Linked DNA regions of Caenorhabditis elegans. Each later gene encodes a partner of the first gene's protein in a complex. Each region holds a gene or a part of one and is shown on either strand. Other genes may lie near its edges.

Region 1 (5,864 bases):
ACGACTTTAAAGGGAGGCGCTTTTATGCGAAATGGTCTCGACCAGGGGTGTGCGGCAAATCTATTTTTTTGAAATTTGCCGTGCTCGGCAAATTCGCCGCACACCCCTGATCTCGACGCGGTTTTAGTCATCATTTTTAGCAGATTCTGTGTAAAATTCGTATAGATCACACGTAGATCAAAATTAATTTGTAGATCAGAGTAAAAAAGCTACAGAAATACAAAATAAGATATAAATATTTTGTGATCTATACGAAATTTACACAGAAACTGCTAAAAATGATGACTAAAGACGCGTCAAGACCATACCGCATGAAAGCGCTTCCCTTTGAAGTCGTAGAAGTGGAAAAAAATGCACTGTATATAACATGTATACCATATCCCATATATATATCATATATACAATTTATATCATATATACCGTATCTACCATAGACCATGTATACCATATATCATATATACCATATACCATTTATACCATATATATCATATACATCATATATACCATATAGCAAATATTCCTATTATAAATACGTTATACATTATTTTTGGCGTTTTTCTTGCGGGTTACGCAATTGCTAGCAGAGACGACAGATGGCACACAGGCAACATTATCGATCATTATCGACCGTAGATATCATATATATCAAATCTACCATATATTATATATATCATATATATATACCATATACCATTTATACCATACACCAGATATATCATATATATTATATATACCATATATACACATATACCAAATCTCCCATATATCATATACATCATATATACCAAATCTACCATATTCATATAATAAATACGTTATACATTATTTTTGGCGTTTTTCTTGCGTGTTATGCAATTGCTAGCAGAGACGGCAGATGGTACACAGGTACCTCGAAAACATTATCGATCGTCGTCGGTACACCAGAATCCACGTCATCTCTCCCTGTCCCTCTCAGTCTCCCACACTCTCTACTCGACATGGCAATTTCTGCGTACATCCCGAAAATCGACGAAGAAGCACTCAGAACCGCTTTCCACGCTGAAGCCGAAGATCATGAGCAGCTAGAAAATGCGAACCGCCGACAAGCCGAAAAGGAGAGATTCCGCCAAATTTGGCATCTATTTCTGACGCATTTGGAGCAAGATCCACGGAAAACTGGAAGTTTCTGGCTGCAAGAGCTGCCTGTGTTGCTCCGCGAGGTTTCGAGTTTCGATGAGGATATTTTGGGATTCGGAGCGCTTGATGGTGAGGAGCAATTCGATTTTTTTGCAGTTGCAGGAGAAGCCGAAGTAGACGGGAACAAGTATCCATCATTGTCGGGAATGTGTAAATTGTCGTTTTTCATTATATTTTTCATGTTTTTGCTGGTATTAATTTGCATTTTTGGCTATTTAATAAGTGACAAATAAAATAATAAAAATTTTTTTTTCTCAAAAGCGAAAAAATTTCCTACCAATCCAGTCAAGCTTCGCTCGTTGGCTTCTCTGGAATTCCAGCTGGCAGTCAACGCTAGGACGGCCTGAACGGCTATGTACAAGCCTGGCACGTTGAACGACTCGAACATAATTTCAGCAGTATATTCTCGGTTTTCCGGAGTGTTGAGTGGTGGTTCCGTCTGGAAATTTTCAAATTTTTTCGTGGAAAACTGCCTAATATTCGCTATTTAAAGGTGGTGTAGTCGATTTTTAAAAAAAAAATTGCTTTATTAGACTCAAAAATTGTCTGAAAACACCGAATTTCATAATGAATTGAAAACTTCTCAAAAAAAAAGTTATGGCGGCTCCAAAAAAATGGCCTAAAACAGTTAAAATTTGAAATTTGGCCTTTTGAAATTACCGTCAAATTTTAGATATATAAGTTGATTATTGTGCGTTTTCAACTCGATTTAGGTATTTTAAAGCCGGTGGACTTGGAGATTTTTAAATTTTTATTACCAAATCTCCAAGTCCACCGACTTTAAAATACCTAAATCGAGTTGAAAACGCACGATAATAAACTTATATATCTAAAATTTGACGGTAATTTCAAAAGGCCAAATTTCAAATTTTAACTAATTTTAGCCGATTTTTTGAACCGTCATAACTGTTTTTTTTCAAGAAGTTTCATTATGAAATTCGGTGTTTTTAGACAATTTTGATTCTAATAAAGCAAAAAAAAAATTCGACTACACCAACTTTAAGCCTGAAAGTTGAAGCTCAGGTAGATCGTGGCGGGACCCTTACTTTAAAAAAAATTAGAAACAAAATTTTGTAAATTTCCAGAAAAAAAAAACGATTTTTTAAATAGAAAATTAAAGCCATATCTTCAAAAAAACAGCTTTTCCTATAAAATTAGGATTTTAATACGAAAAAAAATTTTTTTTGCTATTTTTTTGAAAAAATGTAGATTTTTCATTTAATTAATTTTAATTAATAAAGCTTAAAAATACCGGAGTTTTCGGGGGAAATTCCTTGATTTTTCTCCCGTTTTTTTCAAAATTTTTACGTATTTTTTAAATTGGTATCACATGCTTTATTTCCAAAAAAATTGTCCTGTCAAGACCGGATACCGTAATTTTAGAGTCAAAAATTGCAAAATTTCGTGATTTTTAAGCTTTTTTCATCGAAATTTATCACTTTTCACGTGTTTTTTCTGTAATATATAGCTTTTCACCGATTTACATCCATTTTACAGGATATTTTCTATTAAAAAAACGGATTTTCGACCCCCTTTTCTTTTAAAAGTGGCCAAAATATTGTTCCAGAGCATTTTTTCCCGAATTTTCTGCTTCTCTCCCGTACCAAAAGGAAGAAATGATCCTCTGGCTCGGCTCTCAAGTATTTGAAAATGCACTGCTCCCAGTATCGTTCCATAAGATCCCAGTCTTCGACGATTCCATGCCGAATTGGATACTAAAAAATTTAATTTTAATTTTAAACATTTTTTCCATATGCTCCTGATACCTAATATCAATGTGAAAAATTCAAAAAATAAAATTCCCGATTTTATAAAAAATTATATTTTTTTTAATCCAAAAGTCCAAAATGTTAAATTCAGAAACGACAAATTTTGCATGATAACCGTGCCGCATGTGTGGATTTACGAGACTAATATTTTTCATTCATTTTTATTTAATTTTCACACCGATTTTCCCGATTTTTCCTTGTTTTACATTAAAATTATCATGATTTCCATTAATTTATGACTTTTTATTAATGAAAACAACAAAAATACGTGAAATATTCGATTTTTTCAGCAAAAGTTCGATATTTCTTGTAATTTAATTTGTTTTCATTAATAAAAAGTAAATTTATGAATAAATTTATGAAAATCCCAAGAATTTCAATGTATAACAACGAAAAAACGGGAAAATCGGTGTGAAAATTAAATAAAAATGAATTAAAAATATTAATCTCGTAAATCCACACCTGCGGCACGGTTATCATGCAAAATTTTGTCGTTTAAATTTAAAATTAGGATTTTTGGATTTTAAAAAATTATATAAAATCTGGGAATTAAAAAAAAAAATTTCACATTGATATTTGACATCAGGAGCATAAATATGGTCTATTAACTACGAACTTTGACAGTATAATTCGTAGCGGCCGGCGACAAAGCTTCATCTCCAATAAAGAAATCAAGATCGTCTATCCCGGCTCCGACTCGGTTATTCCAGCGCATCGCCTGCGAATTCGAGCTCGCCACCTTGTCCTTCACGGCAATTGCTGGAAAATTCACTGGATTTTATGAAAAATAGGCTGAAAATCAATAAATCTAACCAGATGGAATAATAAACTGAGGTTCCGTGTTCCCAGCATATCCGAGCTTCGTATAACCCGTTCCATTGTCGATCACACATGCCGGTAGTTGATGGGCCGACATGCTTGCTGCAAAAAATTTGGGATTTTTTTTGTTTTAAATGGGAGAAAAAGACGGAATTTCAGTCTAGCGGTTTAGAAATTCGAAAAAATGGGCTAATTTCCGCTGAAATCTCCAATCTTGGAGCGTTTTTAAGCCGGAAATTGATAATTTTGCAAATAAATTAATTTTGTTCCTTTTTTGGCTTCAAATATACCTAAATTAACGCAATTTTCAACCGCTGTGACACAAAAAATTGGCAAAAATGGAGTTTTTCGCTGAAATGTTTAACAAAAATTTAGCTAAATAATTTTATGACGATTTAAAATTTCAAAAAAAAAAAAGATTTAGCAAAAATCGTAAAATTTTGCCATTTTTGGTTTTTTAAAACATATTTTTTCGTCGATTTAGCTACTTATTAAGCCAGTATTTTAGCAATACGTAACTATCGGCTAAAAGTACCTAAATCCACGAAAAAAAAAGGATAAAATCACTCAAATGTGTCAAAAATCAAATAAAAATCAATTTCCGACGGCTGTGACACGAAAAAATTGCAAAATTGGGGATTTTCGTTAAAAATAGCCCATTTTTTCGAAATTTTGAAGTTCAAAAATGCGAAAAAAAAAACTCAGTTTTGGCTTGGATAATCGGGTTTATTTGATTATTGTTCTATTTTCCATATTTAAGTGATTTTTCTCGCGTTTTTTCGCTGATTTTGGCAATTTTTAAGCCGTTATACATAACTATCGGGTTAAAATATCCAAATCCACTAAAAAACAGGATAAAAATTATTTAAATATGCCAATATCAAATAAAAATCATTTTCCAACGGCTTTTTGGAGTTTTCCGTTAAAATTAGAAAATTTTTCCGCATTTTTTTACCGCCATAAATTTTTCTGTCATATTACGATATGAAATTCGGTATTTTCAAGTCACCTAGAGGATCAGAATCCAAAAAATCGTGAAAAAATAACGTAAAACTGCCGAACTGCACTAGTTAAACAATCGGCGAGTGCGGTGACTCATCCAAAGAATAAACAGAAAATCGATATTTTTACGATTGAAATTCACAGGAAATTCTTGTAGGGGGAAAAGAAGAAGAACAATTGTTTTAATCCTTTGCTGAGAAACTGAGAAACTGGGGGTGGGGGATCAAAAATTAATACCTTAATTGTTCAGTTTATTCGTGATTTTTGGATTTTTCGGGTCTTTTCCACGTCAAAAATGATTCTAAAATTCAGATTTTATTATATATATTATTTTAAATCAATAAATTCCGATAAAACAATCAGTTTTCAAGGAAATATGTGGACAGACATCATTGGACCACTTAGAAATTGCGAAATTCACTGAAAATTATTGATTAATTCGAAATAACTGAATAATTAGGTATATGTTAACTGAATTCCATGGAAATTTGCAAGAAAAATGAGCCAAAACGCGATAAAATCCTGGCTTTTGCCTTTTTCCGGTGCCAAAATGGTTTGTGTGCATTTTGTCGTAGTCCGCAATACCAAAACCCTAGACTTTACGACAATTTTCTTACTGTATTTTTTTTGAATTTTTTCGAGCAAATTTCTCCATGTAAATTACTGATTTAGAGAACATTTTCTTACCCCAAAGATAAATGAAAAAAAGTAAAAAAATCATGATTTATTCAAATAAAATAGACCAGCATGCAATCATAATCTTTCTGTGGGGTTTAAATAATTTTTAAAAACACATAATTTAAATAGAAAACATGAACCGCCGCCCAACGGGAAAATAATATGAAGGGACCAAAAGCAATGGGAATTGTGGAAGAACAAGGCAAATAAATTACAATAATTAATATCACACAAAAAACGAAAAAATTATCATATTTCACAACTTTTAGCTCTTCAGAGTTGAGATTCGGAGCCCAAGAACATTCTTTCCAACTTCTGCAACCTGGCACACGTTGCACACTTCTCCCTCGAGCCCTTCAGAGTACGATGCTCCACAATACGGGCATTTACAGAGTGGACGTCCACGGTAAAGAGGCACAA
Region 2 (4,156 bases), 2.1 Mb from region 1:
TGTTATGCAGAGAGGATTGAAATGTTTGCTTTCAATCCAGGTACTTTTCCATGTAAAACAATGGTCATTCTGTTTCCAAAAATGTAACAGAGACAACTGTTTGCACAGATGGACAGTATCTCACAATATAAAAGCAACTGCTGCAGAACTATAACCATCATTCTATCATGTTCCGTCAATTCATTATTTCATTTGCCATTTTCTCGGTTGCATTTGCTTGCGAAGCTTCTGAATCTGAAGGACGTAAGTAAAGACTGCCATTACTTTTAGAGTTTGAGTTGTTTCATTTCAGCATGTGACGGTGGCATTCTTGTGTGCCAGACACAGGTCTGTGATGTGGCAGCTGGTCAATGTTGTCCTGTAACCAGTAAGTCAACAAGGTTCTTTCAACCGTGACCTATGATTTTTAGCCGTTCCCCTTGTGACTTCAACCACTGCTGCTGTGGTAACAGATTCTGATGGATCTACAGTAACCACAACTGCTTCAGCAGTTACAGTAACCTCAACCTCTACAACTTCGTGTGCTGATCGCCTCAATCCATCTACCGGGGTCTCTGATTGTCCAGCACTTGCCTATCTTTGCAACGACACCACCTACTACACAGTCATGACTCAACAATGTCCAAGAACATGCGGTCGTTGTAACTCAACTACCACAAGCTCCACTAGCTGTGCCGATCTTGTAAACCCATCCACCGGAGTTTCTGATTGTACTGCACGAGCTTCTTTGTGCAATGATTCAGTCTACTATGCCGTCATGACTCAACAATGCCCAAGAACTTGTGGAAGATGTAACTCAAGCTCTACCGTAACTTCATCTTCCTCCACAACAGCTTCAAGTAAGATTAATAATTGTTCATAACGTTCCATGTCTGAACTTTTCAGCCACCTGTGTTGACCAAGTCAACGCAGCTACAGGAGTCTCCGATTGTCCAAACCGTCGTGCATTCTGTACCAATTCTGCCTACGCAACCCTTATGAGAGCTCAATGCCCACTCACTTGCGGATTCTGCACTTCTGGATAATCTTCATTTTTTCTTGAATCATTTTATTTATTTCCTAATATATTTGGTTGTTGTAAATTTGAACTTCTTCATATAAAAAACTTTGGATCTTGGAGTTTTATTGCAGAAATTAACAGATACATGTACCTTCATTAAAAAATTAGAGACGTTGTCGATTGGACAACACTCGAACAATGGATCCCTGCCCAAATTTTGATACCAATTGAGAATGCCACAATAGTAGAGAAAGACACGTGGCAGAATCAGAGCATAGTTGCATTGCTTTGTAAATATACTTCATCAGAATGTCTCCATTTTCATTTGACAGCTTGTGAACTGATTCTTCAATATCGGTCTGTCGAAATGCATGAATAACCTCGGCCACAAGGAGAACAGCACGGTTCTTGAGTTCCTAAAAGGGAAAGAGGTTTGCAAAATGACATTAAAAAATAAAACCTGTTCAGAATGACCAAATGGTGGGTTTAAGAGAACGGATTGAAGAGCATATTCAAGTCGATTTGACTCCAGAAATTGCCGAACCTCTTGCACATTTGGCCCACAATCTGCAGATTCTGAAAAAATTTTCAAAAATTATTTATTGAAATATTATTATTTATTCAAAAATTAATTATTGAATTCAGATTGACTAACCTTCCTGAATATCTTCAAAATGAGCTGGATGAAAAATATCAACATTGTACTTTTTATAGTCAGTGTTGTACATTATCTACAATAGAAAAACATTTCTGAATGAAAACCTAAAAAATGATATAAGAAAGCTTTTTTGAAGTCTCTTTGAAATTTTGAATAAGAGCACCAATTGTCCACTCTTTTGTGAAATTCGAAAACGTTTGTTCTGCTGCATACCAAATTTCATAGATTCTTGTTTCTGAACAATTTTCTTTTAATCCCCAAATAATTGCCATAAGTTTTTTGTTTTGCCTAGTACTTTTCACTAGGCAATCGGCCGATATGCACTGGGAACAATTGCACCTGCTCTAGCTTTTAAAGCAAAGACTTCAATAGATTGTTGTTTGGATCTAAATTGCAACTGGACATTTCAAAAATTTCTCTTCATTTGAGAATAAAAATATACAAATTGTACCCAATCAATTAATCCATTACTCGGATCGTACACAATGGAACAAAAAAAACAACTGAAAGTAAGAAGAAAGTCTAGGGATTATGCCATGGTAAAGGAAAAGAGAAGGGGAAAGCGATAGATTAAAAAGTGAAAATCTATTTTCTTTTTCAAAAAATCTATTTTCTTTTTCAAAAAACCAACAAAAACAAGGACTGGCTGGAGGGGGTGTAAAATTGAATAATAGCAAATTGTACACGGATGAGGATTTTGTGGAGGAGCGGTGGGGAATCACAGAAATTATTATGGCGGAATATGAAGAGACACACACTTTCATCTATCTACAGTAATCCAAGGAGGTAGAAGCTTCTACGATTTCGTATTTTTCATTCTGGCAATCACTTCCTCTGTGACCATTAACTGGTCATCAGGATGTTCTCCGTACTCGGGGAGTTCTTCGAGAATCTGAAAATATTTGAATTATAATTCAACTACTTGGTAACATTTAAAATTTATGAGAAGAAAAATAAATATAGTGTCAAGAATTTGAAAATATATAAATTGATTTTCCGCACCTCTTATCTATATTAGTTACCGAATATTCTCTAATAGTATTAAATCCCACTACTTTATTTTTGCTTTAAAAAATTTTAAAACAATATGAAACACTTTCCAATATTTTTTCCAATTTATTCAAAAATGTTACGGTTTTTATGTCCCCATATCAGTTCTGTGAATTTATTGATCTCAACATCCCCCGGTTATAACTACACTTTTACCTCCATTCTCGTTTTTCTCCCCGTTTCACCTGTTCCCTATTATCTTTTCTTTCTTTTTTTATGTAACTTTTACTCGAGTTGAACTCTTTTAGGGTTCGTCTCGTTTTATTTGTTTATTTCTCTTCTTTTAGTTAAATAAACTCAAATTCAAAAGAAAAATAAATATAGTGTCAAGAATTTGAAAATATATAAATTGATTTTCCGCACCTCTTATCTATATTAGTTACCGAATATTCTCTAATAGTATTAAATCCCACTACTTTATTTTTGCTTTAAAAAATTTTAAAACAATATGAAACACTTTCCAATATTTTTCCGTTAACAATTTTTGTATAGGACAAAAGGCAACTGAGTTTAATAGTAAGGTGCTACATTAATAATATTTAAATAAAAAATTCTAAGAAAACCAAGCTTACCTTGACTAAATTATCGATTCCTATCAAATACCCATCTTCATTATTCCCAGGTATCCACGTCGTCCGATGGTTTAGTGTTCGTCCATTAGGAACCGGTGAACTCTTTGCAAAGTCAATCATCCAGCATCCCACTTTTTCCGTATCAAAAACAATCAGAATACTGCTTCCGACGACTTCATGTGAATTGAAGAATGATGAATGTTCGATGGCTTTTCGCATTGATTTCAGTCGTTCAATTAATTGTTGTCTTACACGGCTTCTTTGAGTTCCAAAGAAGTCCATAAATGTAGTTGTGACATCTTCAACTGTTCGTACTTTTTTGAAGTTTTTCTCCAATGCGCCTTCGAGCCTCTGGAAATAAATGCGATGTTGAAGAGTTTAGGGTTTGAAGAAAACTTGTTATGTTAACATTTAGAATTCTAAATATACCCATGAATTGGATGGAAAAACATATGTTTTATAAAGATTAAAGCTTTGAGCACTGCGGAAGTCAGGTACACAGCTGGAGCTCTAATTTGAGCCAAGTAAGGACCAAAAACTTCAACAATAGAGTAGCCGGTCTCGACACGATCACATATTTAAATATGAACGAGTGTGCGCCTTTAAAAAAACTGTAGTCTTCAAACCTCTCTATTTTGCAATTTTTTAAAGTGAACCGTGGAAACTGCTGTACTTTTTAAAGGCGCATACATTTTAATTTTTATATATACGGCCGGTTCGAGACCCATTCACATACCTTGGCTGCCTCAATTCGAAATCCGAGCTGTGCAGTGCTGCTCTCTCGTTCCCTAAACTGCATGTATCGTAATTTTGTGATTGCTCCACACTTTCTCTCCTCTTCTGTCGGCTCGTCATTATCAATCGCAACCATTTTTT

The links. The genes of interacting proteins can lie anywhere in the genome.
Region 2: arx-1 (region 1) and C46H11.3 share a complex: the UniProt entries of both Caenorhabditis elegans proteins name them as parts of the arp2/3 complex.

Annotation. Positions count from the first base shown.
Region 1 is NC_003279.8:2,889,853-2,895,716, forward strand, and holds the start of arx-1 (Actin-related protein 3), read right to left. Parts: upstream 3,867-5,864; 5' UTR 3,862-3,866; coding exon 3,759-3,861; intron 3,705-3,758; coding exon 3,562-3,704; intron 2,892-3,561; coding exon 2,781-2,891; intron 1,616-2,780; coding exon 1,454-1,615; intron 1,410-1,453; coding exon of another isoform or gene 594-1,409; intron 1-593. Other genes in the region: Y71F9AL.6 (Protein PBN1), read left to right, coding at 594-1,409; copa-1 (Coatomer subunit alpha), read right to left, coding at 5,710-5,864. UniProt on the Caenorhabditis elegans protein: Functions as ATP-binding component of the Arp2/3 complex which is involved in regulation of actin polymerization and together with an activating nucleation-promoting factor (NPF) mediates the formation of branched actin networks.
Region 2 is NC_003279.8:5,039,064-5,043,219, reverse strand, and holds C46H11.3 (putative actin-related protein 2/3 complex subunit 5), read right to left. Parts: upstream 1,851-4,156; 5' UTR 1,729-1,850; coding exon 1,656-1,728; intron 1,577-1,655; coding exon 1,461-1,576; intron 1,417-1,460; coding exon 1,165-1,416; 3' UTR 1,128-1,164; downstream 1-1,127. Other genes in the region: C46H11.7 (ShKT domain-containing protein), read left to right, coding at 168-243, 293-367, 411-839, 886-1,025; lfe-2 (Inositol-trisphosphate 3-kinase homolog), read right to left, coding at 2,455-2,550, 3,281-3,631, 4,017-4,156. UniProt on the Caenorhabditis elegans protein: Functions as a component of the Arp2/3 complex which is involved in regulation of actin polymerization and together with an activating nucleation-promoting factor (NPF) mediates the formation of branched actin networks.